Linked DNA regions of Rattus norvegicus. The protein of the gene in region 6 interacts with the protein of the main gene of each other region in a pairwise test. Links are inferred from orthologs where the notes say so. Each region holds a gene or a part of one and is shown on either strand. Other genes may lie near its edges. The genes, in order: Cep76, Ccdc33, Meox2, Zbtb9, Jakmip2, Pin1 and Gli1.

Region 1 (3,957 bases), on a different chromosome or scaffold from region 6:
TAAAACATGTAGACCAGACTGGCCTTGAACTCAGAGAGCTCTGCCTATCTCTGCCTCCTGAGTGCTGGAACGGGATGCCAAGCCTGCCTTTAAAAAACAAATCGATACCTTAAATAAGGCTAAACTTCTTTTAAACCCCATAGAGCATTTGTGTGAGCACAGTGGCACATGTCTTCACTTCCAGCACTTGGGAGGCAGAGGCAGATGGATCTGTGAGTTTAAGGCCAGTCTTGGCACACAGTGAGCTCTAGGACAGCCAGCATAATAAGAGTACTGCTGCTGTCTTCTGACACACTTGTGATGCCAGAAGAGCATCAGATCCCATTACAGATGGTTGTGAGTCACCATGTGGCTGCTGGGAATTGAACTCAGGACCTCTGGAAGGGCAGTCAGTGCTCTTAATTGCTGAGCCATCTCTCCAGCCCGCCATGAACTGATTTTTAAAAAGTAACATTTATGCAGCAGAGGCTGTTAATAGGTCAGTTTTTAATAACAAATAGGTTTGCAAACCTCAAAACCCAAAAAAGGATAGTGTATTAAAGTACCCAACTCTCTGGAGTATTATGAAGTCCATTCTATTTTTAGTAGAATATTACTCTTATATTGAGGTCACAGTTTTTCATTATTGCCTCATTTTCAAAATAAGGCCTGCCTACTTAGTGCACTGGGAGATATCCCATTACTGACCTATTTGTACAGAGAAATGAGGGGTTTTATGTCGCCAGCTCTTTTCTTACGGAATTTCATGAGTGTATCTGTTTTAAAACAGACCTAACCTAAATAAATTAGAGATCGAAGGAATCTGACACATCTGACAGAAGTTTCTGTCACGTCAGAGAAATACTGTCCAACAACTCCTATCTTATGATCTCTGTTAGCCAACTCACGGTGGGGCCAACTTAAACACTCAGAAAAGGAGCCAGGCATTGACTGTGGACACATGCCTTAGTCCCAGCACTCGGGAGGCAGACAACAGGAGATCTCTGTGAATTTGAGGCCATCCTTGGTCTATAAAATGAGTTTCAGGCCAGCCAGAGCTACACTGAGAAAACCTGTCTCAAAAAAAACCAAAAGCACCAGAGGGCAGAACATTATGGAGACGGCAGAGATGACTCAGCAATTTAGAGCACTCGTTTGCTCTTCCAGAGGACCTGAGATCAGTTCCCCCAATATCTTGATGGTGGCTCATTCCAGTTCCAGAGGATCACAGGCCACCCTGAACACTGTGGGCACCAGACCAGCATGTAGCCAAAACAGCCATACACATCAAGTCTTCTTAAAAATCTAAGAAAAATGGCTATTACCAGAGAATGAACTTAAGGTGGTTTTAAGAGAAGCCACAAGTGTGGACCCTGTAAATTGTTAGACAGAGGCAAATATTTTACACTTTCAATTTGTTTAACCTAGGAAATTACTCACAGTCACAAAATTAAGCTCTTTCATTACATCATCAATGATTCCTCGACGTCTGAGAGCTTTGATCAGATCTTCTGTTGATAAATGTTGTTGGTCAGGTGCTAATTCTTCTCGTATAGTCTCGGCAAGAATTTCTCTTATTCTGCCATGGACATCCATCTGTGGAGAAAACCCCACATTACAATTTACAAAATTATACCTGGTGGTGATGGTGCATGCCTTTATTTCTAGCACCCGGGAGGCAGAGACAGGTGGATCTCTGGAGTTCCAGGCCAACCTGGTCTATAGAGTTCCAGGACAGCCAGAAAAACTACACAAAGAAACCCTGTCTCAAAAAACAAAACAAAACAAAAAACCCAACAACAACAACAACAAAAAAAAACCGCACAAAAACAATTTACAACATTATAAAGCAGTTAAACGCCACTTGTAGATTTTAGGCTTCTGAAACTAATGGCAAGTGCCCAATGCCAATAAAATTGAGCTTTTTAAGTGGTGGAAGTTTTGAGCAACATACTAGAAACAATCTGAACTGGTTGGTTATCAACCTTTATTGCTGGTTGCCCGCAAATGATTCAATGAAAACAATTCTTAAGAGAGGGAGTGGAGGACAATCAAAAGAACACAGACCTAGAAGGAGGCAGAACAAAGAGCGAGTTATTTCAGCCTTCTCACTTATTCAACTTGCAACTCTAATTTGTCCGTCTATCTCCTTGCCCATCCGATGGAAAAGCGAGATTGTTTTGAGGATTCGCCAAAAGACGCTAGAGACGCAAACACCGGCGCACCAACACACCATAAAGAAGCTTTATTACTTCAGCTTACGGCCAGCAGTCGGGCGCTGCTGCTGGGAAGTCGCGGTTCTCCTGAAAGCCCCGAGCCGGGTAAACGCGTTCCTTGTCAGTCATTGGAGCGCCCTGTCTCCCATAACTTACTGCGATCGGGCTTCCAGGCGTAAAGAAACCCTAAACATCTGGCCTCGGACTACTTGTACATGAACATCTGGAAAGCGCCCGGACCGCCTCCGGTTTACAGCGGCTCTCCTCCACTCTAGCTAAAGAGCCTTCAGCGCTCCCTCGGGTCACACGCCCAACCGAAGCTTGCCCGCCGGCGCCCGCTCCACAGCCCTGGCTCCGGTCCCGTCCGCCCGAGCTCCTCACCTTGCTCAGCTGCTGGTGGATGAGCTGCTTCAGCTCAGAGGCTTTCTCCGGAGGCAGCGACATGCCGGCACTGGCGCCTCCCGGCCGCTACTCTCCGTCTCACACGGTGCAGCCACGGAGCCCGTCGTCCCGGCCGCGCAGCATCGGTGGCGGGCGTAGCACAAAGCGCCGCGGCCGCGTCAGACCTGGCAGGGCGGGAACCCTGCAGCCGCGGCGCCACAACTAACTGTCTTCAAACCGGGCGGACTGACAGTCGCCGGGGCTGGCCTGCCAGCTGCCTGATCGACGCGGTCCAACGCGCCGCCTCCTCGCGGGTCCCGCACGCGCGGTTCCCACGTCCTCTGTCGCAGGGCCTCGACCTACGACCCCGGGGAACGCCGCCTGCCGAGCGTTCGAGCCTCGTTCAGCACTGAGCGCAGGCAGTGCGTCGGACGCCTACAGGACCCGAAGGACCCGAAGGACCCGGGCGGATCGCGAGTTCCGCCTTCTATCCTAAGGATAGGTATCCTAGCTGTCCCGGACAGCGCTCCAGCTTCTCTTACGCCCACTGCAGTCATGTTCGTTCCCTGCGGGGAGTCGGTCCCCGACCTAAAGAACTTCACACTCCTGATGGTGAGTCTCCACTTGAGTTGGCGCTGTCGCCACCCCGACCCGGGAAGCGCCACCTGGCCTTAGGAGAGCCGGGCACGTGTTTCTGCTTCAGGCTTTAAGCCTGAAAAAAACAAACCAACAAACAAGTTGGTTATCCTTAGAGGCGGCGGTCCAAATTAGCACATTTGTCCGCTCTATCAAGGCCTGCCTGCTAGCTGAAGCCTTCGTTGCCTGGCAACTGTAACGTTTGTACATTGCAGATACATTGCACATAAGTGGCACCGGGGGAATCCCTAAGTTTTATCCGTTGAAGTGTTTTTATGTAGTTTGGGTCCGTGTTGATCTAGGCAATCAATTGCATTAGAGAGCAGATCGTTGTCTAAAAGGCAGTAGTAGAATTGTCCTTGTTTAGTCATCAAGGTTTACAATATAGCTAGAAACACGTGCATATACTAAGAGCATTAAATAAGACAGAAGTTTGAAAAAGAGAACGACCTGAGATTACCGACCTGCGGAAGTCTGGGTGGGAGTGGTTTGACCAAGATTGTATTCCCAGCATTCCAATCGTGAGGCAGGAAGCCCCAGCCTGAAAGACACCTATCCCCGCAAGAAATAAACAAATCAACAAGAACAACAAAGCTTGAGGGGAGGGGGCTAAAGAAATGGCTCCGTAATTAGAGCCTGTGTGGCTTACAGAGGATAGAATTCTTACATACTCACAATGAATGGCTTATAACTCCAGGTCCAGGGTCCCTGACACCCATTCTGGCCAAAGAGAATATCTGAACCC
Region 2 (3,500 bases), about 40 Mb from region 6:
CTTCACCAATTCTTCTGAGTGCTGTTTCTCTTTCTAACTATCTGTCCCTAGTTGCTCCCCCACCCTCTGGGGACAGACTTCAAATGCCCAGGCTGGTAACATTCCCCTAGACCATCCCCATCCCACACTGAACACAGCCTAGGCACTACAGACAAGGGCTTGCCCCTGTGAGGTCAGGCGGAGCTCAGTCCTGGCATGGGTTACCACACAGCCAGGGACAAGACAGGTCTCTCATTTGCACAGGAGCTCACTTTCCAAATATTCATCAGATGGTTTCTGTTTGCAGACCCAGACCCAGTCCTACCTCAGTTTTCCCAGCTACTTACACCACCACGTAGGGCCACGGTTCAGAGCTATCCTTGCAGGTAGGAAGGTTGGTAGCTCCATACAGAGTGACCATGACAGTCTCCTTATTACAGGGAGCCAGGTAGTTGGTGTCAGGATATGGGTCCAGAGAGGTATCCAGGCGGTCCTGTGGTTCTTCAGGAACCTGTGGGGAAAGCCAGGGCTAAGTGGACTCTTTTGATGGAGTATTTCTCTTTACTGTTACTGGTAACTTCTACCAGGTGGGTCAAAACTTTCCATGGTATAATTTACAAAACAAAACAGAAATCATGAAGAAATTTCATAAAAACTGGTGTGGTGGTGCACACCAGCCCTCAAGAGGCAGGAGCATTGGAAGGACCAGAAGTTCAGGGTCATCTTTGGCTCCTCCGGTTTGAGGCCAGCCTGGGCTACACGAGACCTTGTTACAAAACTACAGACGTGTCAGTGAGTTAGCTCAACCTTTGCTGTGTGAGCCTGATGGCGAGAATTGGATTGTGGGAACCCATGGTGGGAAGTTAATACTTCTAAAAATGTTTTCTCTGGTCTCCACACGCACGCCGTGGCACGCACGCTCTTGCACTCACCCACACGTATACAATAATAGTAAATAAAATAAAAATGATATGATTGGAAAATACAAGGTTTACATTTCAGATAAGCCTATGACTTTGTGTTTAGCTGTGTTCACAGACAGTCTTGCCTGCAGGAGTCTGGATGTGGCCCAGGGCTAGTGGCTGGATAGGCCCGACTGACCAGTACCTTTTCCTCTCTGTAACATTACCTGCTCCCCCAACTACAGAACAGTAGCCTAGGAAGCCATTTTCTCTCTACTTCTGTACTTCTCTCTACCTCTTGCTTCTTCCTTAGCCTTTGGTGTGCCCCCGTGTGCAGCAGAAGTCAGCCCACCTTAGTTTGTAAGCAATCTGTCTGTCCTCCGGTTTCTGCTCCTGCTTTTACCTCTGTAACTCCTCCGTGCCACATGCTCCTCAGGTCCTAGTGACCTCTACCTTTCTTCTTTCCTATATCTTTACCTTAGACCACCTCTGTCATCTCACATATGGGGACTGGGACCTGACATGATGCACCACTCTGCCCCGCCCTCCTGACTCCTAGCATGGGAAGAGAAGGCAGCATGGCTTAGCCCAGGTACATCTAGGAATGCTACTTCATTCAGATTCTCAGGACCATTGTACTGCATGGTGAGCGCAGCAGAAGCCAGGCTCCCTTAATCGTCCTAGCAGCCCTTCCCCACCTCAGCCTTTGTCTGGTATTTTCATCACCTGGGCAGAAATTTCCAAAAGATTTCAAACTCCACATCCCCTGACCCATCCCTCACGTGCTGCAGACTGTGGTCCCTGCCTAACAAGTTGTCTCATTAGGAGGTGAGAACAGGGCTTCCCAGCCCTAGATGTGCCAGCTCTGTAGAGACTTCTCCCCTTCCTATGACTGAGGATTAAACCTGCTCCCTCCCCCAACAGGACCCAGCAGGGCCTGTCACCATCTGCAGAGGTGTTGATGAGAGTTAACTCCCCCCCCCACACACACACATGGCAAGGGTAGGGGGAAGGGAGGGGGGAGCCCTGCTAGTGGAGGAGGGGAGCATTCACAGACCAATGCCTCTCCTAGATCAGAGGACTTCTTCTAGTGTACTAGCCCACATAACCAGAGGTCGCCTAGCAGGTTTGTTTTCCTGTTCTGGTACAGGAGTGACAGCAGCTGACAAGCCAGGAGGCTCCTCTGTCCCTTCTGAGATGCGCCGGCACAGAGCCGTTTCCCTGCACTCCGGTGGGAGCATCTAGAATGATTTCTGATTCAGCTTTTCCAGGACTTGGTGTGACTAAAGTTCTCTGAAGTTAGACTAGGAGAGGTAACTGATGTCCCTTGTACTGCCAGATGGACACCCTTGCCACTGCGAGGGCGCAAGCCTACCGTGGCACTCTAGGGGGGGCGGGGGTTACAGAAGCGAAGGTCCCTTAGCATGATCGTTGTCTATGGGCTTCCCTGCCTCCTTGGCAGCTCTGGAGGCCACCAGGCCTCTGCCAGGTCCTCCGATTGGATCTCTTCCTTCCCCGTCTCCTCCCTTTCAGGACAGATTTCCAGGAAACATAGCTTGGAGAGAGTTGGGTAGGGACACTTGTGCTTCACTTGTGTGCTTGAGGCCAGCTGTTAGTCAGGTACCTCTTGAAGCCTGTAGGCATGTACCCCATGGATGTACTGGGTGGGGGTCCAAGGTGTGGGTTGTAGAGGGGACAGGCAGTGAGCCAGGGCACCTTTGCCTCTGTCCTTGCTCGTGGGTCCCTGCATCAGGACCAATGTGTTCTGCTGCCTCTGCCCCTGGTCACATGGAAGAATTTGTGAAGGAATAGGATATGTATCTACCGATGCCGACACCTATACCTACGTATACTAGGTTACAAGGTGAGGAGAGGAGCTGGGGCTGGACAGATGGCTCAGTGGTTAAGAGCACTGACTGCTCTTCCAGAAGTCCTGAGTTCAATTCCCAGCAACCACATGGTGGCTCACAACCATCTGTAATGGGATCTGATGCCCTCTTCTGGTGTGCATGAAAGCGGCAGCTACAGTGTACTCACATACATACAATAAATAAATCTTAACACAACAACAACAACAACAGCAACAACAACAGCAACAACAACAACAACAACAACAAAACAGAAAACAAGGTGAGGAGAAAACTGAGTGAAGGTGCTGACCCTGGGCAGAGAAGCTTCAGAATCTTCTTCCATGAAAGCAGAGCTCTATGCTCACCACAGCTCTCAGGCCCTGCTCTTGCTCACCCATGCAATGACTGTAGACAGCAGGCTAGTGGTAAGCTCAAAGCCTGCCCATTTCCAAGCAGAGTTCCTTTGGCCACCCCTTAGGATTTGGGCTCTAGGCAGGCTTGAAAACTGCTGATCTCAGCGCATCATGGTGTCCTTGGGAATCCCAGAATGTTCTTTGCTTGGGTCAGCATTGGATGTGTGAGGGAGCATGAGAGCAGGAAGGGAGGAGCAGCAGACAAGCCAAGGCTCACAGAGGTGGGGGTGGAGAGGGAGGTACAGGGAGTGGGCTTCTGGCAGAGACCAGGATGAAACCAGACTCTTCTCCCATTCTATTCCCTCTTCCCAGAAACCCGGGAAGCAACAGGAAGCTATGAAGCCCAGATCTCTCCT
Region 3 (3,500 bases), on a different chromosome or scaffold from region 6:
GACTTCAAAGCTAAACATTCCATGATGTGACTTTGTGGCCTGCCAGAATAGCCCATAGGGTGAAAAGTTGGTTACTTGGAAATTTTATTTAGATTATCCCAGAAGAGCTCAAAGTTACAACAGTGTGGCTACTGACAAAATATGTGGGTTAAAAACAAGTGTTTGGTGAACTCTAGTTTCTACTTGGAGCCAGGTATGTTAACATCATGTCCATAGGCCTACCAATGAACTGCCAACTGTTATAAGTTCATTTACTTCCAGTGGCATCCTAAAGAGTAATGTGTCACAAAACATTCTTTGACCTGGATTGAAAACTCCTCCTTGACCAGCTTAGAGGGAAATCGCAGCCAATATGGAAAGTGACAACTTGAAGAAGTGGTCAGAAGTAATGACCAGCCAGGGAAAGCTACTAAATGACCTATTATAGTAAAGGGAGTACCTAACGGGCCAAGATGTTGGTGAGAGCCCATTGCTACGGCTGCTGATCTGATAAAGACACATCTGGTCAGCTTAGATTTGAGCAAGGGTCAACCCAGAATTATTTACCTTAAAATGTCCTCTCTAGTGGGTTTCCATTTTATTTCTACAATGGTTTTCTGATGATGATTTGGTTTATTTTATTATCACAGTACCATTTTAGAATTTCAAATTATGTTCATATTTTATAAATGTTTGAAGAACTTTTCCAATTATGTAATGAGTTACCAGAAAGTGCGTGTGTGTATATATATATATATGTATATATATATATGTACACACATATATATATATATATATGTAAATACCAATTAGAAGTGTCTGCTATTTGATGATTAAACTTTTGTTCAACAAAATGACAAAATTTAATGTATGATATTTGAATGAAAGAGAGATAGGGAGAAAGAAGAGAGACCTATCTCACTCTGTGGAGATGTGTGTCTCTCTCTCTCTCTGTGTGTGTGTGTGTGTGTGTGTGTGTGTGTGTGTGTGTGTGTGTGAGAGAGAGAGAGAGAGAGAGAGAGAGAGAGAGAGAGAGAGAGAGATCTGTTTTACTGGCTTTGTTCACTGTTGGTCATGTCTGGCAAAGCACTTGGAGAAGTAGTTATTCAGTAACTGTAAATAGTATGTTTCCAGACGTTTGCACAACTGTGTTAACACTTTTTGCACTTTCCCCCCAGATTCCCAGGAAGGAAATTACAAGTCAGAAGTGAACAGCAAACCTAGGAAGGAAAGAACAGCTTTCACCAAAGAGCAAATCAGAGAACTTGAGGCAGAGTTCGCCCATCATAACTATCTGACCAGACTGAGAAGATATGAGATAGCGGTGAACCTAGACCTCACTGAAAGACAGGTAAAGTGGGTGTCTTCATTGCATGGATTTTTATTTCACTATAGCTCAGCAATTTTCTTTTACCGTTTGAATTATCCAGATTTATGATTTACTAATACCAATTAGAAGTCTTTATTATTCAATGATTAAACCTTTGATCAGCTAAATGAAGAAACAATTTAAAAAGATATTTGAATGAAAGGTGCATTTGCTGAGTTTTAAAAAGGAATGCTCTCTGATGTTGATATTACTCTGTTTACTTTAAAAACACGGTTTGTTTTAAATAATGTGGGCAAATGGTGAACTACTTCCTGTGTTTATATTTAAGCGCTCCTCATTTGGTGTCATAAAAGGTTGGTTGTCTGTACAGGTCAGGATAGGCCATGTCCTGTTGCAATAGAACATTAACCTTTAAAACTAAATAGCATAAAAAAGTACCCAAACAACTCTTGATGGTTTATTTTCTACACAAGTTTTACAAATCCAGAGCTCGCTGACCTTGGATTCTCGGCACGCGGTGCTGTTGCTAACCACAGGAGGTGATAAAGGATTGGCAGGTCCCTGACTTTGAAATGTGTTCATCTGGAAATGACTCCAACCTCTCCATTTACTCTCACTCATTTTGAAATAGTCAGGGTTGTACCATATGCTCAAAAGGCAGGGTAGTGGTTGGCAGCAAAAATACATAGATCATTAGAAAATACTCTCTATTAATCAAAATACTTTAAAAAGATGCTCTTTTTCTAGGAATTCAATAGTCTACTATCGACTCAAAGAATACCTTGAGCAGTAATGATCCATGTGTTCAATTAACAAGAACAAAATGAGATAAATTGCTTTATAGATAGATGCCTTTACTGGGTTTTATTTGGATGGAAAATAACTTGCTCTGTGAGCACTCAGGGAGTAGCCCCTGTATAAATGCATGTTTACCCTGGGAGAATGCAGCCTGCAGATGGTTAACAGTCTGGCTAGTTAGAGTAACATCCCCGAAAGGCAAATGCAAACATCTTTAGGAACAGTGAAATGATACCAGGCGCTATTAGGGCAAGAGTTTTACTTCCTCTCTCCCTGTACATTCCTCCTCCAGAGGTCCCACTGAGTCCAGGAAAATACCAACAGGGTGTGGACAAATGACTGCATGCCTTACGATAGCAAGTAATTTTATCTAATTTCTTAAATCATATTCTTCCTTTCTGCTAATTTTTACATTTCAGCTTCTGTGGGTTATTTGTGGTTAGAGAAAATATACAAAGGGAAGATTTTATGTGGTTTTATTTATTGGCAGTTCATATTTTATTAAATATTATGGCTGGGTCCTGAGCTCTGGAGTACGACAGTTTCTTTGCCTGAAGCGCACACAAAGTTTCCTCTGTGAGTGTAGCATTTGGCACTTCAGGAAGCAGAATCCAAATCTATATCCTCAGGGAGCTGATTTCCTTTTATGTGTTCATCTGGGAACAGAAAATTAAAGAAGGGGCAAAATTACACATTAGTTTGTGTAGAAACCATGGATTCCAGGAAAGACCCCCATGTTTTAGAAAATTGGAAACTCGGGTTGACATCCCGTCTACACAATGATGGATATAGTACTGAGCTCTCGCCAAGAGCAAAAGCAAAGCTCTCTGCTTATTCATAGTGATGGCCTATCATCTTTTACAGTCTGGTCAGAGAAAACCATACTTGTCTAAGAGCAAACTAATTTTAAAAGAGGTTCTGTAAACTAACAGAAATGTGGAAGGTATTTTCAATAATTGTTCTTTTTTCCTAACTGACTTGATGTATTGAGTTATATGCAACAACTATGTATGTGTCCTATTTTAAAATCATATTTTTCCGATATCACTTTAATTTCAAGTCAGCCTGCTTTTTCAGTGTAATAAACTATCTCAAATATTAATGCAAATTCACAAACAGCCCCAAGTTTATTTACAAGTTTGTGTATTTAGGTTTTTGAATGGTTTTCCCAGCATTCCTTATACCCATCCCGGAACTGCAGTCTTTGATCCAGTGCTAAATACTGCCTGAAGCTATTCTGAGACAGTTGTTCTTCTAATCAGCTAACCCAGGGTTCTTCAGAGTGGCACAAATGCTCCCAGGAAAACAATGAGAAGAAACTTCATCCTGTAAGGGTTCCTTAAGCTTCTGTTTATCCCATATTTACCAGTGTCTCCTATTCAAAGCCATCCTT
Region 4 (3,984 bases), on a different chromosome or scaffold from region 6:
CTCCTCTGCTTCCCTACATCAGGCCTTACCCTTGGACCTCCTCCCTCCTCTTTGGCTGTTGTAATTATCTGGGGTTTGTACTGTACATAATTGGGGTGGGGGGCTGGGAGGCGACCCCTCTGTACAGAGCTTCCTGGCTCCCTAGCCCCACCCCTCATTTCCTTCCCCACCCACCACCTTAAGAGTAGGGAGAAGATCTTCTTACTCATTTTTTTTGCTGTTTGTTTACTCGTTCTCCTTTCTGCTCCTGCTCCCAGACTCTTGGTCCCCACCCCCATCCCCCCACACCCCCTCTTTTCTCCCACTCCCGGGTCCATTTCCCTTTTTTTTTCTGGAGTGTGTGGTGAAACAGAAAAATCATGTTTAATAAACGGAGATTGTTCTTTTATCGCTGGGCTGACTTTTATTTTTGGTTTTTCAAGACAGGGTCTCTGTGTGGTTCTGGGCTGTCTTGGAACTCACTCTGTAGACCAGGGTGGCCTTGAACTAGCAAGATCCGCCTGCCTCTGCCTCCTGGGACTAAAAAAGCGTCTGTCGCGGGGGGGGGGGCTGATTTTTTAGCCTGGGGTCTCCAGAACCACCTGAAGGCTGACAGGGACTACTTTGGGGGAGAAAAAGTAAAACAAAATCATGTCTTCTTCCACTACACACTGCTCGAGTCAGGAAAACTATATACGGCAGGGCCTTTCTGGTGAAACTCCTACCCCCGTTCTCTACCCGCCGGACACTCGACCCAAAGGCGCTGAGGCTGGGAACCGGCTTTTAACGCCCGAAAGACTCCAAGTGCAAAACCCTCTCGACATAGGGTTTAATTGTGAGGACGCTTGTCTGCGAAATGGAGGAAAGAACCCGGGGTGCTCAGCATGTGTGCGCTCCAGACTTCTGACCTGGCTGCCCCACGTGCACGCGGAGGACAGCCGCATCTCCTACCTCGCGCGGCAAGAGTCGGGGGGATACACACACCGCGCTGCGGAGCCAGTCACTCCCCTCACCCCAGAACCCGCAGAACCACCCTCCTCATCGGCCGCTCATCCCGGAAAACATTCGCCGCCGCTCCAGCAGCCCGCCCGCCCAAAGCCCCGCCCCTCCGACTGACCAGCCAATGAGGAGAGGTCTTGTAGGCCGCCGCTCTCCCATTGGCTGCAAACCAGGTCCGGCCCTCCGCGCCTGGCTGCAGTGGCGTCCGGCGGAACTGCGGCAGCTTCCGGCCGGCCAGGCGCAGTGGATGCGAGGAGCTCCGACGCGGTCGTGCGTGCGGTGGGGGCGTGTCGGTGGGAAGTCGTGGGGCCGGAGCTCGCGGAGCCGGCCTGTCCGAGCAAGGTGAGGAGGGGCGAGCGGCGGCGGAGGGCGACTGAGCCAGCGAGGCGGGGCGCCATCCCTTCCCTACTTGGCTTCCGCTGGGCCTGGAAGTGAAAACCCTGGTTAGTGTTTTGCTGGGTTTCTTGGTGGGCGGAACTAATACACAGAAACTTGTCACTGAAGAGTTTTCAAGTGTCGGTGGGGAGCGGCTTGAGGCAGGTCTCATACCCCGAACTTGTGTGACCCTAGTCTCTTTCCTCTGCAGTCTTCATCCACGGGTTTTATTTCTCCCTCCGAGGTAGCCATGGATGCTTCGACTCCTTTGCCTCCCGCACCCTCTTCTCCGAGGTGTAACCCAGCCCCACAGACAATCCACATTGATTTCCCTCATCATAGCTCTTCGCTGCTGGAATCCCTGAACCGCCATAGGCTGGAGGGAAAGTTCTGTGATGTATCCCTCCTGGTTCAGGGCAGGGAACTGAGGGCTCACAAAGCAGTGTTGGCTGCTGCCTCTCCTTACTTCCATGACAAGCTGCTATTGGGGGATGCGCCCCGACTCACTTTACCGAATGTCATCGAGGCAGATGCGTTCGAGGGACTGCTTCAGCTCATCTATTCAGGAAGCCTCCACCTGCCATTGGATGCTCTTCCTGCCCATCTCCTCGTGGCCAGTGGCCTTCAGATGTGGCAGGTAGTAGATCGGTGCTCAGAGATTCTTCGAGAGCTAGAAACGTCCAGTGGAATTTCATCTGGTGGAGGAGCCTCCAGCCTCACACTTCTTTCCACAACATCTGCAGGAGGCTGGTGCATTCGCTCTTCCCCTTTCCAGAACCCAGGGCGGTCCTCCGCTTCCACAGAGAATTCTGCTGCCCCTGAGAGCCCCAGTGGAGGGGAGGGGGGTGAACTAGAAGGAATGTTACAGATTCAGGTCAAAGTAGAGGAGGAAGAGGAGCAGAGGTCAGCAGCCCCACCCTTTCAGACCCCTCAGCCTGAGAGAGTGTCAGGAGCGGTTTCCCAGGCTTGCGGATCCCACCCGTTGCCTACATCGACTCTTCCCAGCAAACCTTCAGAGGATGAGAACTCAACACTTGATCCTCCTGCCCCTCCCGTACAAACTTCCCAAATCTTATACGTTAACCAGGAAAACGTCGAGTGTAAGGAGGAGACATCAGGAGGCAGGACTCTGTCTGGAGGAGCAAAGGAAAAGACCAAAGTACTGCCTGGAGAGAACTCTGAGGAAAATGGGGAGCTAAGATACTTGCTGTCCTCAGGAGGAGGGGAGACGTCTGGGGCAGGAGACCCATCCTGGAAACCAGTGGATCTCCATGGGAATGAAATCTTGTCAGGGGGCGGAGGACCCGGAGGAACAGGGCAGGCTATGCACGGGCCTGTGAAGCTAGGAGGGACACCCCCTGCAGATGGAAAGTGCTTTGCTTGCTTGTGTGGAAAACGGTTTGCAGTCAAGCCGAAACGAGACCGACACATCATGTTGACCTTCAGCCTTCGTCCCTTCGGCTGCGGCATCTGTAATAAACGCTTCAAGCTGAAGCATCATCTGACAGAGCACATGAAGACCCACGCCAGAGCTCTGCACGCGTGTCCCCATTGTGGCCGCCGGTTCCGGGTCCAGGCTTTCTTCCTTCGACACCGGGACTTATGCAAGGGCCAGGGCTGGCCCACTTACCACTGGACTTACAAATGACTACCGATGCTCTGTAGTGATTTCTAGGACAAGATAGCCACTGCTGCTGACGGACTTACCTTCCACCACCTCAGTCCTGGATCGTGTGGTCCTTCCAAGAGATTATATATGTCATGTTGTGAACCCCTTACTCTTGGGGATGGGCCTCACCCTGGTATATTTGGAAGTCCTGTAGGAAGGTCATGCTTCTGATCACTCAACCGGAATGGCCCTTTTTGTATTGATAGCCAGTGAAGGAACTGCTGACCTCAGGTTATATTAGCAAGAGAAGAGATGGAGCAAAATGACCCAGTAACTCTATCCTCATCTTCATGAGGAGGTGAGGGAGCTGGTCTCCAACTAGGAAAACATTTGATTCAGAGCTCAAGTAATTGTCAGACTCAGCTCTGAGCGGCCTCTGCCTCACTGTCAACGGTATCCCGACTCTGTACTTTCTGTCATTTCTTTCCAGAAGCTTTTTAAAGTTGTACTTTTCTTTTCTCACCAGGAGACACCTTTCCCAAATATCCTTTTAAAAATGACTGGAGAGGTGGCTCGGGCACTGACTGCTCTTCCAGAGGTCCTGAGTTCAAATCCCAGTAGCCGCATGGTGGCTCACAACCATCTGTAATGGGATCTGACGCCCTCTTCTGGCCTGCAGGCGTACATGCAGACAGAGCATTCATACATTAAAAAAAAAAAGTACTTGAACATGAAGCAAGTGTCCTGCACACATTTAATCACAGCACATGGGAGGCAGAGGCAGGTGGATCTCTTCAAGTTCAAGGCCAGCCAGGGCTGCGCTCGGCGAGACCCTATCTTGAGGGGGATAAATAGTACTCGAGCACTTTAGCAAACTGAGCATTTCACAGGTTACTCTGAAAGCCCATCGCAGAGGGTCCTCCCTCAGAGGCCTTCACCTTGTCTTTCACTACCACTAATCACAATGACAGATGTGACCCAGGAACTCAAGAGGTGGCAGCTGGCCTACAGCGCTCCCAGGG
Region 5 (4,125 bases), on a different chromosome or scaffold from region 6:
GTATTCTCTAAGATTTACAATGTTTTCAATTTTCAAATTTAGAAAACATGAAACTTTTTAGAATACTCGCCATTTGGCCACTACGGCCACTACCATCACCAGCCATGACAACTATCATGCATTTAGTATTTTCTCTTCTACCTGGAATTGTTATATCCTTCCCTTAAAGCTTTTAGGTTAAGTGATGTCTACAGTGTACCTCTCTACAACTCTCGCTAATAATAGTAAATACTTACTGTGTGCTTACTACATGCCAAGGGCTTTTAGTGCATTATCTCAATCAATCTTTACAACTACTGCCCGAGACAAATTCTAATGCCATCTATAATTTATGACTAGAAACAGAACTCCACACTGCACATTCTCTAGATTTTCTCCTACCTACATCCCTGAATGACAGCTGGCTCTGGAACTCCAAAAGGGCATCCATGAAAACAGCACGCATGGAATTGCTTGTGAATAATTCTCGTTCCAGGAGTCTGAAGCCGGATAGGTTTGGAACTGTCCACTGTCTAGTGCTGCTAAGAACCGTAGTTGTTCATAGGCATTTCCGGTTTGTTTTGTTCCAACTTCTTTTTCCTCAGAGGTGTGGTCAATATCGCCAGGTGCTTTTCAGGAGACAACTTGCAAAATTGGTGGAATCAAATCATCTTAGAACGTAAAGGAACGTAGCAGGCACCAAGTATATTGCAAAGTCCAGCAGGTTTTGCTTTGTTTGTTTGTTTTAAATTAAATGTGGCACTGAGCAAGAGATGGTATCAAGGATGTACAACTTTGGAGTCAAAACAATCTCACACATAATTATTTTTAGTTTATTTCTTCCAAGTGCAATATATTTTATCTAAAATCTATAAACAGTACAAATAAATGTCAAATATATTTCAACCTATAACTTAGATGCAACTTTAACTGTTCTTTCCTGGTGCCTTTTCACCTTCGGCGCCGCTCAAAGCCACCTAGAGCTTAGATTAGGAGAGACCAAGAGCATCTCAGAGACAGGGACTTAGTTTTACTCCAACCCCTGCAGCTTGCTTAGCTCCTCTCCCCTCCCCCTTAGCTTGCCACTTGCAATTGGCTATTGCCATGACAACCAGCAGCTGCCAGGCCGGCTGCTTCTACCGCAGCAGGGGTGGGGCTGTGGGGGTGGGGAGGGAAGGAGGAGCCTGAGGAGGTGTCTGCTGCAAGTTCCTGGCTGATTCTGAGCTCACACCATCCTCCAAGAGGGAGGAGGCTCAAGTGATGCTGCTGCTGTTGCCGCCTCTACTGCTGGTACTCTAGTGGAGCTGGGAAGGGTGGTTCCTATCGCACCATCGCCAACCGGAGAGGGAGGGGGAAAAAAATCCTGGTAGCCGCTGCTGATGTTGGGTTCAGAGGCTGCATCCGACCCGGTCACAAGAAAAATGGATTCAGTGTGCGGCTCTCCCTCTTTTCAGCATCTTCTCCTGCTCTCAACATGGTGAGTAGGAGGCAGAGGGGCTACCTTCTTGATCTAGCTGGCTGTTAAATGACTTTTGTATATATCTGTGGCCTAGACTTAAACAATGACTCGCGTCTCTCAGACTAGGAGGGGGGATGGGGGTGTGGAAACAGCGATGAGGATGGAGAGAGAGGAAGGTTGTCTGTCGGCAGAGAAGTGAGAAGGAATCCGCTAGTCTTTTGAGGGGAAAAGAAATGATGTTTTGATTTTTATCACAAACTAGCTAGAAATACTAACTGAACCGCCGGATTCCTTTCCTCTCAAGCTTAGCAACAAAATCAGAGGGGTGGAAAGGAGCAAGCAAGAAGAGGATATAGTTGAAAGCAATCGTTTCATTTGCAGGTCTCGCAAACAGGGTTGGGCCTTCCCTGAATAACACATTTGGTGTCTCAACCTTGTTGGCCTAATTATAAGGTGGTTTTACTTATTTGCTCTAGTCTTAACGTGGTCCCAGAATTAGGCATTCTGTTTCACACTTTAACATATTCTTGTTGAAAAGCCATTTCCGAGATCCAGAGTTGATTTTTCAGGATATATATTTAATTATGAACATACATATCTCCATGTATACACATCATATGTGCACATGCTATTTTGCAGGTGTGTTGCATTTACGGAACCTATTTCTATGCCCAGCGTGCTTGATTTACTATCATTTTTATGAGTTATTGATGCCTTTGCATTCTTGGAAGTAATTGCATGTTTTAGGAAACAGACTTCTGGTTTGTATTATTATTCATTGGCTTCATTTGGATTAATGTGAAATTTATTCTTGTTATTGTCCCTTAGGTTCATTGTAGCCAATTAGGACAGATGCCTATCGCTTCTCTATTAAAGAACTAGATGCCAATTCATAGCCTGGCTGTTTTTAATTGGGTTTGTGGGCCTACGTTAAGGGCCCCAAATTTACAATGATGGGAAAGGGAGGTGGCTTGGAGTATTTTCTAGCATATTGCATCGTCTCAAATAAATGTTGAAACAGATAGGTTTTCTTGAAATTCTAGTCTATCTCTTCCATATCTGTATGGTGTGCTCCAACCAGTACAGCTGGAGTGGCAGGTGAGAGGCATTCATTTTACTTAATTGTATAGATATTTGTTCTTCATTCCTTCAGTGTCCATCACCATTTTATAGCCCTCTCAGAATGTTCTGTTCTTGGGTAGCTTCTCTAAGTGATTAAGTAGGAAGCAGGATGGTTTTTTAAAAAAAGAAAAAAAAAGTGTTCTCAAGGACCCCAGACTGAATTAGTCTGCTCATACAATGCAATGAGCGAGAGCAAGCAAAGGAAGGCAAGCAAGCAAGCTTGGCAGGAGGATGTGGCTTGTAGCTGAAACAGGCTTGTAGTTTATAAATGCTTACTGGTATCTGTTTGACCTTTTACTATGCTAAGGCTTTAAGGCAGCTCAAGAGACTAAAGATGCCTGAGATTGGAATGTATAAGGTTCCATTACCACCTAGGATAATGGATTTCATTGAACTAAAGCCAGAAAAATCCTTTCAGGTAAAAATGTATTAGCAATATTACAAGCATCAAATACGTGAACTGTGTCTACCAACCTTCCCACCATCACTGCTATCGAGGATGTATTTTAAGTCTAAAATTATAGATTATTTTCATATTAATCTTTCATTTTATATTACATATTTATAAAATTTACCTCATTGGATCTTAGTTCTGTTTTCTGAGATTTATTTGGTTTACAGATGCTTAAGCGACTTAATTTAATATGCTCATGTATTATGTCTATTCACAAGTCTAAATTCTTGCCACCATGTGCCTAATTATAACAACTCTATAAATTAGGTCAAGGAAGTAGGTACTGGACTTGTATGTCACTGCAAAATGGATGTATACCGTAGTATACAGATTTCAGAGTGTATTACTAAATGGAACTTCATATTTCCTAAAACAAAAGTTCAAATATTTCTACAGTAAACTTACAAAAATGAAATATGCAATACAAAGCTGGACCTGTTCATAAATGGAAAGCAGGTACCCTTGCCCTTTGATTTACTTGCTGTCTGCTGAATTTGGATGTGGTTTTATGGGCAAAGTTGTTACAGATTGAAGTGAGGCTCATCACAATAGGTCATGGTTAGGAAACTCAGTGTTGGTAGTCCCATCCAATTATAGGTCCAGATGCTGTAGAATGACAAATGAACCAGAACTATGTAATCTGGAGGAGAGGAAATTGAGATATAAGTGCCACTTTCTTCACATAAGATTCTGCTTTCAAGTAGGACACTGGCAATTGCTACTTTGTGGAACCTGGAATGTGATCAATGGGCTTCAGCTTCACAGAAAGAATTAAGGTTGAATATACAAAGCATAGAAAGTCTTACAAGTAAGTGGTGTGGGTAGTCATGCACACCATTAAAGGCTACTAGGTTATGATCTGGATATGCTCTTGTCTGGGATGGACTATGTGTCTTCCTAAAGCACGGCTAACTTACTGGGGTCAGCTATCCTTTGAAGGGTTCAGATTAACTGTTAGCATTGGATACTTTGATATTTGTGCATATAGACTCCATTTTGTAATGTGCTTCTAATGATCAAATCTGGGTACTCTTGAAGAAGGTGATTGATGATATATCTGGAAAATTTATTTATGGAGTCTTAACAGGATGCAGGGATTTGCTTGATTTGC
Region 6 (4,184 bases):
CACCAAGCCTGACAACTTTAGTTTGACCTTCAGAACCCCATGGTGGAAGGAGAGAACAGATTGCCACAAATTGTCCTCTTGATTACACAGCTTTCATGGCGGTATCCCTTATAAATGTAATAGTTTTTTAAAGTGATTTTTTAAAAATTCTTGAAACAGGGATTCTCTGTGTAGCTCTGGCTGTCCTGGAACTCACTTTGTACACCAGGCTGGCCTCAAGCTCAGAGATCTGATTGCCTCTGCCTCCTAAGTGTAGGATTAAAGGCGTTTGCCACCAGCACTAGGCATAAAGTAACATTTTAAAATTCTTATATATATGAATTGCCTGCATGTATGTATGAATGTGTACCACATGCAGGTCTGGTGAATTGAAAGGTCTAATGGAAGGGCAGCTAGTGCTTTAACCACTGAGCCATCTCTCTAGCTGTCTTTTTTTTTTTTTTTTTTTTTTGATTCGTTCATTCGTTTGTTGAGACAAGTTTCCTGTGTAGCCTTAGCTGTGCTGAAATTCACTTTGTAGAGCAGGCTGGTCTCGAACTCAGAACTGCCTGCCTTTGCCTCCTGAGTACTAGGATTGAAGGTATACATTAACACACCGTTTTCCTCAGACTACCAGTTGACTAAAACCGGTCGTTGGAGCCGCCCACCCTCTCCTACCCCCTTTCCTCGGTCTAGTGGTAATGCTCTCACCCATCAGTCACCTGCCTAGAAGTCAGGAGGAGCCCATGGAGAAGGAATAAGTCGAAGTAGGTTCTAAAAAAGACATGGAAAGTGGGTGAATAAACCAGTGAAATGGTTCGCCTTGCAAAAACCGAAAAGGACTGGTTTCGCTTTGGACATCTGGAGGAAAAGGTGGGAAGAAGAACTCAAAAGCCAAATTTAGGCTCTGAATAGTTAGCCTTTTGTCACCAAGGCAACTGCATTGCTATGGCAACGGCAAAGTACAGCAAAAGCACCCATGTACCTTAGTTCCAGCTGGCCACTTCCGCGTGGATTCTGGCGGACCTCCGAGAAAGGCTTGAGAAGGCCGGATTGGCTGCCGCAGGAGCCAGTCAAATAAGCACTATTTTATCGGCTAAGCGCACCAAAAAGGGTGGAGCGCCCTTTTGACGCTTAAAGGGAGCCGCTTGCCGGGTTGGAGCATCCAATAGACGTAGCTTCCAGACGAGCCAATCAGTAGCGGTGTTGGGAAGGTGAGGGTAGTGGGTGGAGGGTGTGTGTAGGGGTGGTCCAGGAGGCCGCGGGAGAGCCCAATAAAAGGCTCGAGAGCTCGAGGCGTTGTGCTGCCGTCCAATTGGCGTCTCGATTGGATGAGCCAATCAACAGCGGCGCTGGTCTGGCGCGGGGTCAGAGCCGCGGAGGCGGAGCAGGCGCTGCGGCAGGAGGGAAGATGGCGGACGAGGAGAAGCTGCCGTCCGGGTGGGAGAAGCGTATGAGTCGCAGCTCAGGTACCTCTTAGGGGTCGCCCAGGGCCCGGGGCGAGGCCTGGAGGTTGCGGAAGTTGGGCTTGAGCTCGCCTGCACAGGCGAGTCGCATCACCGTCCTGCTTCGGGCATGGAGATCTGGCCTCCTCCGCGGCATAACGGGCCCGGAAAGCCAGATACTGAGGTAGGAGGTGGGGCAGGCACAGGCGCGCCCCGGTTCTCGCCCACCACTGGGCCCCGGTGCTCTGAGGCGACGAGTCTGCACCTCGGAGTTCCCTTGAGAGGAAGATCGGGATTCGGTGCAGAGGGCGTGGGCCGCCCTGCTCTGGTTTCTCGGGCAGCATCCGAGACACGTGCCCGCTCATCCCCCTATCGGGACCCAGGGACAGTGATGGCTCCTAACCAGGACAGTTCGTCTCTGGGTCAAGCATGGTGCCAAACTCTTTGAAAGACTTCAGTTCTTTTACAAGTCTACGCCGGTGTGTGCTCCCGCTTCCCCTCCCCCTCTCCCTCCTGCCTTCTCTCACTCTCTCCTTCCACCCCTCCCTCTCTCTCCCACCCACCTCTCCACTCTTCCTCTTCCTCCTATCCCCACCTCCACCTCTGTTCCTCCATCTCCCTCTCCCTCCTCCCTCGCTCCCTCTCTTTTCTTGGTTCATGCTCTCCTCCCCCCCACACCCCGGTTGCTACCATCTTTCAAGAAAGGAATTGCTCTCATATTTCAAGAGGGAGAAACTGAGGCCAGACATGGAAAGAACTCATCTGATAATGCAGTTCAGTCACTGGGAATGCCCTAGATTGCAATGATTTTTTTTTTTTTTTGATCTCAAATGTCCCCTTCCCAGTGTCAGTGGCAACGCCTAGAGTAGCCTACAAGCATTTCAGGTAGCCAGGGTCAATGCAACCTACAGAGCTCACTCAAAATTCTTAGTTATTAAGCATCAAGGTTCTGGACACTGCATATGTTAACTCTCTGAACCCAGCTAGGTTTAATGTCATTCACTTTCCACCTTTTTATCAAGAGTGGATGTGGAAAGGCATTAGACAGAGCCTCATAAAGACAGGTTACTCTTGAATTCCTGATCCCCCTGCTTCAGCTCCCCCAAGTGCTGAGATTACAGGCATGCACCACTTTGCCCAATTTATTTATTGAAACAATCTTTACTAATAATATTAGTAATACTGTATTTAATGTATGTGCATGTGAAGGTCAGACAATCTTAACTTGCAAGAGTTTTCTTCCTTCTACCATGAGTAGATTGTGAACTCCGTCAGATTTGGCTGCAAGCACTTACCCATTGAGCCATTTTCCTTTCTAAGATGTGTGTGTTTGTGTGTGTGTGAGAGAGAGAGAGAGAGAGAGAGAGAGAGAGAGAGAGAGAGAGAGAGAGAGAAAGAAAGAAAGAAAGAGTGCGCAAGAGCGAGCATGAGCGCTCAGACGATACTTATCCAAGGATGACCTTGAACCTCTGGTGTTCTGCTGGGATTACATCACACAGAGGTAAAGTCTTGCTGTGTAGCCCAAGCTTGCTTCCAACTCATGATCCTTGTGCTTCAGCCTCTCACGCACTGGGACTAAAGTTATAAGCCTTTATGCTCTGATGTCCTTATTCTCTTGTCCCAGTCTACAGATGAGAAAGCTGAGGTTCAGGGAAGGTGACCTGACAAAGGTTTTAGTTGGATTTATCCCCAGAGGCTTTGGGCTGCTCCATTCCTAGGGTGGGGTTGTGACCTCTAGCATAAACTTGTCTCTAACTGGGTGTGGTGGCACACAGCTGTATTTCCAGCACTTAGGCAGAAGCAGGAGGAGATCTGGTTCATGGTTGTCCTGGGCTACGTACACTTTTTTAAAAAATACATGTATGGGTATTAGGCTTGCATGTGTATTCCATATGCATGCAGTGCCCACCAAGAAGCCTGAAGAGACAGTTGTGAGCCTCCACATGGGTACTGGAAATTGAACTCCAGTCCAATAGAGGAGCAGATGGTGCTGTTAATCTCCGGGCCATCTATCCAGCCCCCATAGTGAAACTCTTTTACACACACACACCCCTATACCTGCCCCTCTGCTTAGTTATGCTTGTCATTTGTTCTCAGTAGGACTATGAAAAGCCCTTCCTTCATGGGTAACATCCAGCTCTTCTCCTATGCTAGATCAGCTGTGTAACCCAGGTAGACTCAGCCCTTGGAGTGACCCAGAATCTACTGGGTCCTTCCTTCAGGCTTCTGCCATACCCCTTCCTCCTCTTTTACCTTTCACTTTTTTGAGTCCGTCTTGCAAACTTACTTTTACTGGCTTCAATCTGCAGACATCCATCCTCTTGCCTCAGCCTCCCTAGTGCTAGGCAAACAGCATGTTCCACTAAGCCAGAGTTTTCCCTTGAGGTTTTGATTTTCCATCTGTCTCCTTTATGCCCTCACAGCCACTCAGATGACATCAGGCCCTGAGTAATGCTACCCCTTGCTCTCTGACTTAGGCTACCAGTGCAGGGGTTAAGACTGGAGCTTTGAGGGCTGGGGATTTAGCTCAGTGGTAGAGCGCTTACCTAGGAAGCACAAGGCCCTGGGTTCGGTCCCCAGCTCCGAAAAAAAAGAACCAAAAAAAAAAAAAAAAAAAAAAAAAGACTGGAGCTTTGGAGTAACTTTCTCTGTTTATGCACAAGACACAACTGCTGCTGCTGTGAGCAGAGGAGGGGGAGGTGCTGCCTGGGTTTTTGTGGAACGAAGCAATGGGTAAAAACAGTTATACTCTACCTTTTG
Region 7 (3,335 bases), on a different chromosome or scaffold from region 6:
TTATGGGGGCGGGGGCTTGCTTTCCAAGGTGTGTACGTGGAGGTCAGAGGATCACTTGCAGGACTTAGCTATCTCCTTACACAGTGTAGGTCCTAGGGATCAAACGCAGGCTGTCAGGCTTGGCCCTAGCACTTGTGAAGCTGAGGCAGGAAGATCAAGAGTTTGAAGCTAAAAAAAAAAGAGTTTGAAGCTAGGTTTCAAAACAAAAACAGTGGTTAAGAGCATTGTCTTCTCTTCCAGAGGTCCTGAGTTCAATTCCCAGCAGCAACTCCATGGTAGCTCATTACCCTGTGGTCTGATGCCCTCTTCTGGCATGTAGATGACGATGCAGATAGAGTACTCGTAGACAAAAACAATCGAATCTTTAAAAACAAAACAAATAACCAAACAAACGCAAAACAAGACAGGCCTGGTGGCACACACCCTGAATCTCAGTACTTAGGAGGCAAAGGCCGGCAGGTCTTTGTGAATCTAAGGCCAGTCTGCTCTACATGATGAGGTCCAGGCTAGCCATGGTGGGTGACACAGTGAGACCGGATCTCATAAGTAAATAAGCAACAAAACAAAATAAAATTTTGGATCAAAAAGCATATTTTCCCTTTGATATGGATTTACTTATTTATTTATTTGGTTTTCAAGACAGGGTCTCTCCATGTAGCCCTGGCTGTCCTGGAACTTGCTGTGTAGAACAAGGAGGCTTTGAACTCAAGAGAACTGTCTGTCTCTGCCTCCCAAGCACTAGGATCAAAGGCGTGCACCACCACTGCCCAGCCCCCTTTAATTTTAAAAGAAATGAAAACATGTGCCGGGCACTGTGCTGCACATCTTTAATCCCAGCACTTGGAAAGCAGAGGCAAGCATATCTCAGTGAGTTTGAGGCTAACCTGGTCTACCTAGTGAGTTCAAGGCTAGCAAAACTACACAGTGAGACCCTGTCTCACAAAATAATAGGGGCTAGAGAGTTGGCTCAGTGACTAAGAGCACTGACTGCTCTTCCAGAGAGGTCCTGAGTTCAATTCCCAGCAACCACATGGTGGCTCACAACCATGTATAATGGGATCCAATGTCCTTTTCTGGTGTGTCTGAAAACAGCTACAGCATAGTCACATACACAAAATAATAATAATAATAATAATAATAATAATAATAATAATAATAATAAACATTTTTAATCACCTAGTGCTCATGTTACTTCGTTGCCTAGTGGATAGGTCCTGCACTAATGACAGACACTTGTGTAAGCCTGGCCCCCAGATGACCCCACTCTTGGACCATCTAATCCCTGTGCAGGGTGACCTGCTCCAAGATGCTCACTACTTTCACAGCCGTCCCTCACCCTGTGCTGTTTCCAGTTTTTTCTGCTTTTAGCTCCTGTCTGTCCTTGTGCCCTAATCCTGGGATTCTCCAAGGTCCCCATCCATTTATATTCCCTGGTTTAAATCCTTAACCCTCCATGCCCTGTCTGAGAACACCCTTGGCCTCTTCACATCCCACAGTTTGAAGGCTGTCGGAAGTCCTATTCACGCCTCGAAAACCTGAAGACACACCTTCGGTCGCACACCGGTGAGAAGCCTTATATGTGTGAGCAGGAAGGCTGCAGCAAGGCCTTCAGCAACGCCAGTGACCGTGCCAAGCACCAGAATAGGACCCACTCCAATGAGGTGAGAGCTCAAACTGAGATATACTCCCCGATCCGATACTTTTGGCTACTGCCAAAGTATCCCCCATAAAGAGCCCCTTTAACCCAGGGCTCTCTCCACAGAGGTAAGAAACCAGTTCCCACTTGCCACACTAACCGGCAAAAGAGTCAGTCTAAAGTAGACCCCGACCCCTTCCCTTCAGCTTCTGAATTTACATGGCCTCACAGCCTTGAGGGTCACTTCTATTTGTTTACCTAAGCCTCCTATAAGCCTCTCGGGATTTCCTCCACCTGAGGGCCCCCCACCCCCTTACTTCCTAGGATGCTGTGTGTCCGCCCTCACTAGTCTCAGAGCTCCCACCTCCTTACTTCCTGGGATTGTGTGTCCCCCTCACTCACCTGCCTCGGAGCTTTCTTTCCCCCGTTCTGTTTGGGTTCATCTGCTTTGGTCCATTGGCCTTCCAGCTTGGCTCTCTATTCAACAGAAGCCATATGTGTGCAAACTCCCCGGCTGCACCAAGCGCTACACAGATCCCAGCTCGCTCCGCAAACATGTCAAGACTGTGCACGGTCCGGATGCCCACGTGACCAAACGACATCGAGGGGATGGCCCCTTACCACGGGCACAGCCCCTCTCCACAGTGGAGCCCAAGCGAGAAAGGGAAGGAGGATCCGGCAGGGAAGAGAGCAGACTGACTGTGCCGGAGGGCACCATGGTGAGCCAGCCATTGGAAGCCTTTGCTCTGCTCTGCTGTTGTCTTTCTAGCCCTTCCCTAGAAGCGAAGCATCTATCTCTTCCTGTACACATCAGTCTTCTGTGGCCACCCCAACCTGCCTGCCTCCAGTTTCAGTGTTGCTCCGTGGGTGACTCCAAATCTGAAGCTGTTATAGTCATCAATTGTTTAATTGGTCCAACATATTGTCGGGGAGGTGCTTCTGGGGATACAAACCAGGCAAATGGTCTACACTAAGTAAATCTTCAGGCCCCTATGGACCTGCTCTCAGATAACACTTTGTAGTTCCAAGCTTTTGGCGTGCACATTTTGTGTACTTTAAAAAAAATATTTTATTTATTTATTTTAAGTATGTGAGTACACTGTAGCTGTCTTCAGACACACCAGAAGAGGGCATTACAGATGGTTGTGAGCCACCATGTGGTTGCTGGGAATTGAACTCAGGTGCTCTTAACTGCTGAGGCGTCTCTCCAGCCCCCCTATTTTGTGTATTTTTTAAAAGGATGTATTTATTTATTTATTGTATGTGAAAACAATGTCACTGTCTTCCGACACACCAGAAGAGGACATTGGATCCCATTACAGATGGTTGTGAGCCACCATGTGGTTGCTGGGGATTGAAGAGCAAACCACTAAGCTATCTCTCCAGCCCCCTATTTTGTATATTCTTAACAAGAGGAAGCAGGCAAGGAGAAATTTGTCAGGCTTGTAGGACTACTCAGGAATGGAGCCTCTATGCTCCAGTGGGGTCATCTTAGTTCCTTCTAGTTTACCCTAACCTCTTGCCCTCACCCCCACGCCCACGCCTGTTCTCAGCAATCACTGGGCTTCAGCCATTCACCAAGAGAGAATTCTTGGGGGCGCTTGCCACCCTCTCTGTTCTCATTCTCCTCACAGCCTCAGCAGAGCCCTGGAGCACAATCCTCCTGCAGCAGTGACCACTCCCCAGCAGGCAGCGCGGC

What was found.
Region 1: the proteins of Pin1 (region 6) and Cep76 interact in binary tests that used the Homo sapiens proteins (3 or more experiments, as listed by UniProt). The two-hybrid records come from large-scale screens. The link is inferred for Rattus norvegicus from reciprocal best matches to the Homo sapiens genes PIN1 and CEP76.
Region 2: the proteins of Pin1 (region 6) and Ccdc33 interact in a two-hybrid assay, tested with the Homo sapiens proteins (2 studies listed by BioGRID). The two-hybrid records come from large-scale screens. The link is inferred for Rattus norvegicus from reciprocal best matches to the Homo sapiens genes PIN1 and CCDC33.
Region 3: the proteins of Pin1 (region 6) and Meox2 interact in binary tests that used the Homo sapiens proteins (3 or more experiments, as listed by UniProt). The two-hybrid records come from large-scale screens. The link is inferred for Rattus norvegicus from reciprocal best matches to the Homo sapiens genes PIN1 and MEOX2.
Region 4: the proteins of Pin1 (region 6) and Zbtb9 interact in binary tests that used the Homo sapiens proteins (3 or more experiments, as listed by UniProt). The two-hybrid records come from large-scale screens. The link is inferred for Rattus norvegicus from reciprocal best matches to the Homo sapiens genes PIN1 and ZBTB9.
Region 5: the proteins of Pin1 (region 6) and Jakmip2 interact in binary tests that used the Homo sapiens proteins (3 or more experiments, as listed by UniProt). The two-hybrid records come from large-scale screens. The link is inferred for Rattus norvegicus from reciprocal best matches to the Homo sapiens genes PIN1 and JAKMIP2.
Region 7: the proteins of Pin1 (region 6) and Gli1 interact in binary tests that used the Homo sapiens proteins (3 or more experiments, as listed by UniProt). The link is inferred for Rattus norvegicus from reciprocal best matches to the Homo sapiens genes PIN1 and GLI1.

What each region holds. Positions count from the first base shown.
Region 1 is NC_086036.1:63,475,559-63,479,515, forward strand, and holds the start of Cep76 (centrosomal protein of 76 kDa), read right to left. Parts: upstream 2,801-3,957; 5' UTR 2,640-2,800; coding exon 2,577-2,639; intron 2,173-2,576; exon of another isoform or gene 2,047-2,172; intron 1,576-2,046; coding exon 1,420-1,575; intron 365-1,419; exon of another isoform or gene 142-364; coding exon of another isoform or gene 109-141; intron 1-108. Other genes in the region: Psmg2 (proteasome assembly chaperone 2), read left to right, coding at 3,132-3,188. UniProt on the Homo sapiens protein: Centrosomal protein involved in regulation of centriole duplication. Required to limit centriole duplication to once per cell cycle by preventing centriole reduplication.
Region 2 is NC_086026.1:67,406,986-67,410,485, forward strand, and holds part of Ccdc33 (coiled-coil domain-containing protein 33), read right to left. Parts: intron 491-3,500; coding exon 327-490; intron 1-326.
Region 3 is NC_086024.1:59,632,525-59,636,024, forward strand, and holds part of Meox2 (homeobox protein MOX-2), read left to right. Parts: intron 1-1,157; coding exon 1,158-1,330; intron 1,331-3,500. UniProt on the Homo sapiens protein: Mesodermal transcription factor that plays a key role in somitogenesis and somitogenesis and limb muscle differentiation. Required during limb development for normal appendicular muscle formation and for the normal regulation of myogenic genes.
Region 4 is NC_086038.1:5,058,132-5,062,115, forward strand, and holds the start of Zbtb9 (zinc finger and BTB domain-containing protein 9), read left to right. Parts: upstream 1-1,184; 5' UTR 1,185-1,320; exon of another isoform or gene 1,321-1,421; intron 1,422-1,564; 5' UTR 1,565-1,603; coding exon 1,604-3,001; 3' UTR 3,002-3,984. UniProt on the Homo sapiens protein: May be involved in transcriptional regulation.
Region 5 is NC_086036.1:35,995,883-36,000,007, reverse strand, and holds the start of Jakmip2 (janus kinase and microtubule-interacting protein 2), read left to right. Parts: upstream 1-1,325; 5' UTR 1,326-1,453; coding exon of another isoform or gene 1,454-1,456; intron 1,457-4,125.
Region 6 is NC_086026.1:27,464,258-27,468,441, forward strand, and holds the start of Pin1 (peptidyl-prolyl cis-trans isomerase NIMA-interacting 1), read left to right. Parts: upstream 1-1,384; 5' UTR 1,385-1,390; coding exon 1,391-1,448; intron 1,449-4,184. UniProt on the Homo sapiens protein: Peptidyl-prolyl cis/trans isomerase (PPIase) that binds to and isomerizes specific phosphorylated Ser/Thr-Pro (pSer/Thr-Pro) motifs.
Region 7 is NC_086025.1:65,045,073-65,048,407, reverse strand, and holds part of Gli1 (zinc finger protein GLI1), read left to right. Parts: intron 1-1,496; coding exon 1,497-1,661; intron 1,662-2,124; coding exon 2,125-2,355; intron 2,356-3,270; coding exon 3,271-3,335. UniProt on the Homo sapiens protein: Acts as a transcriptional activator. Binds to the DNA consensus sequence 5'-GACCACCCA-3'. Regulates the transcription of specific genes during normal development.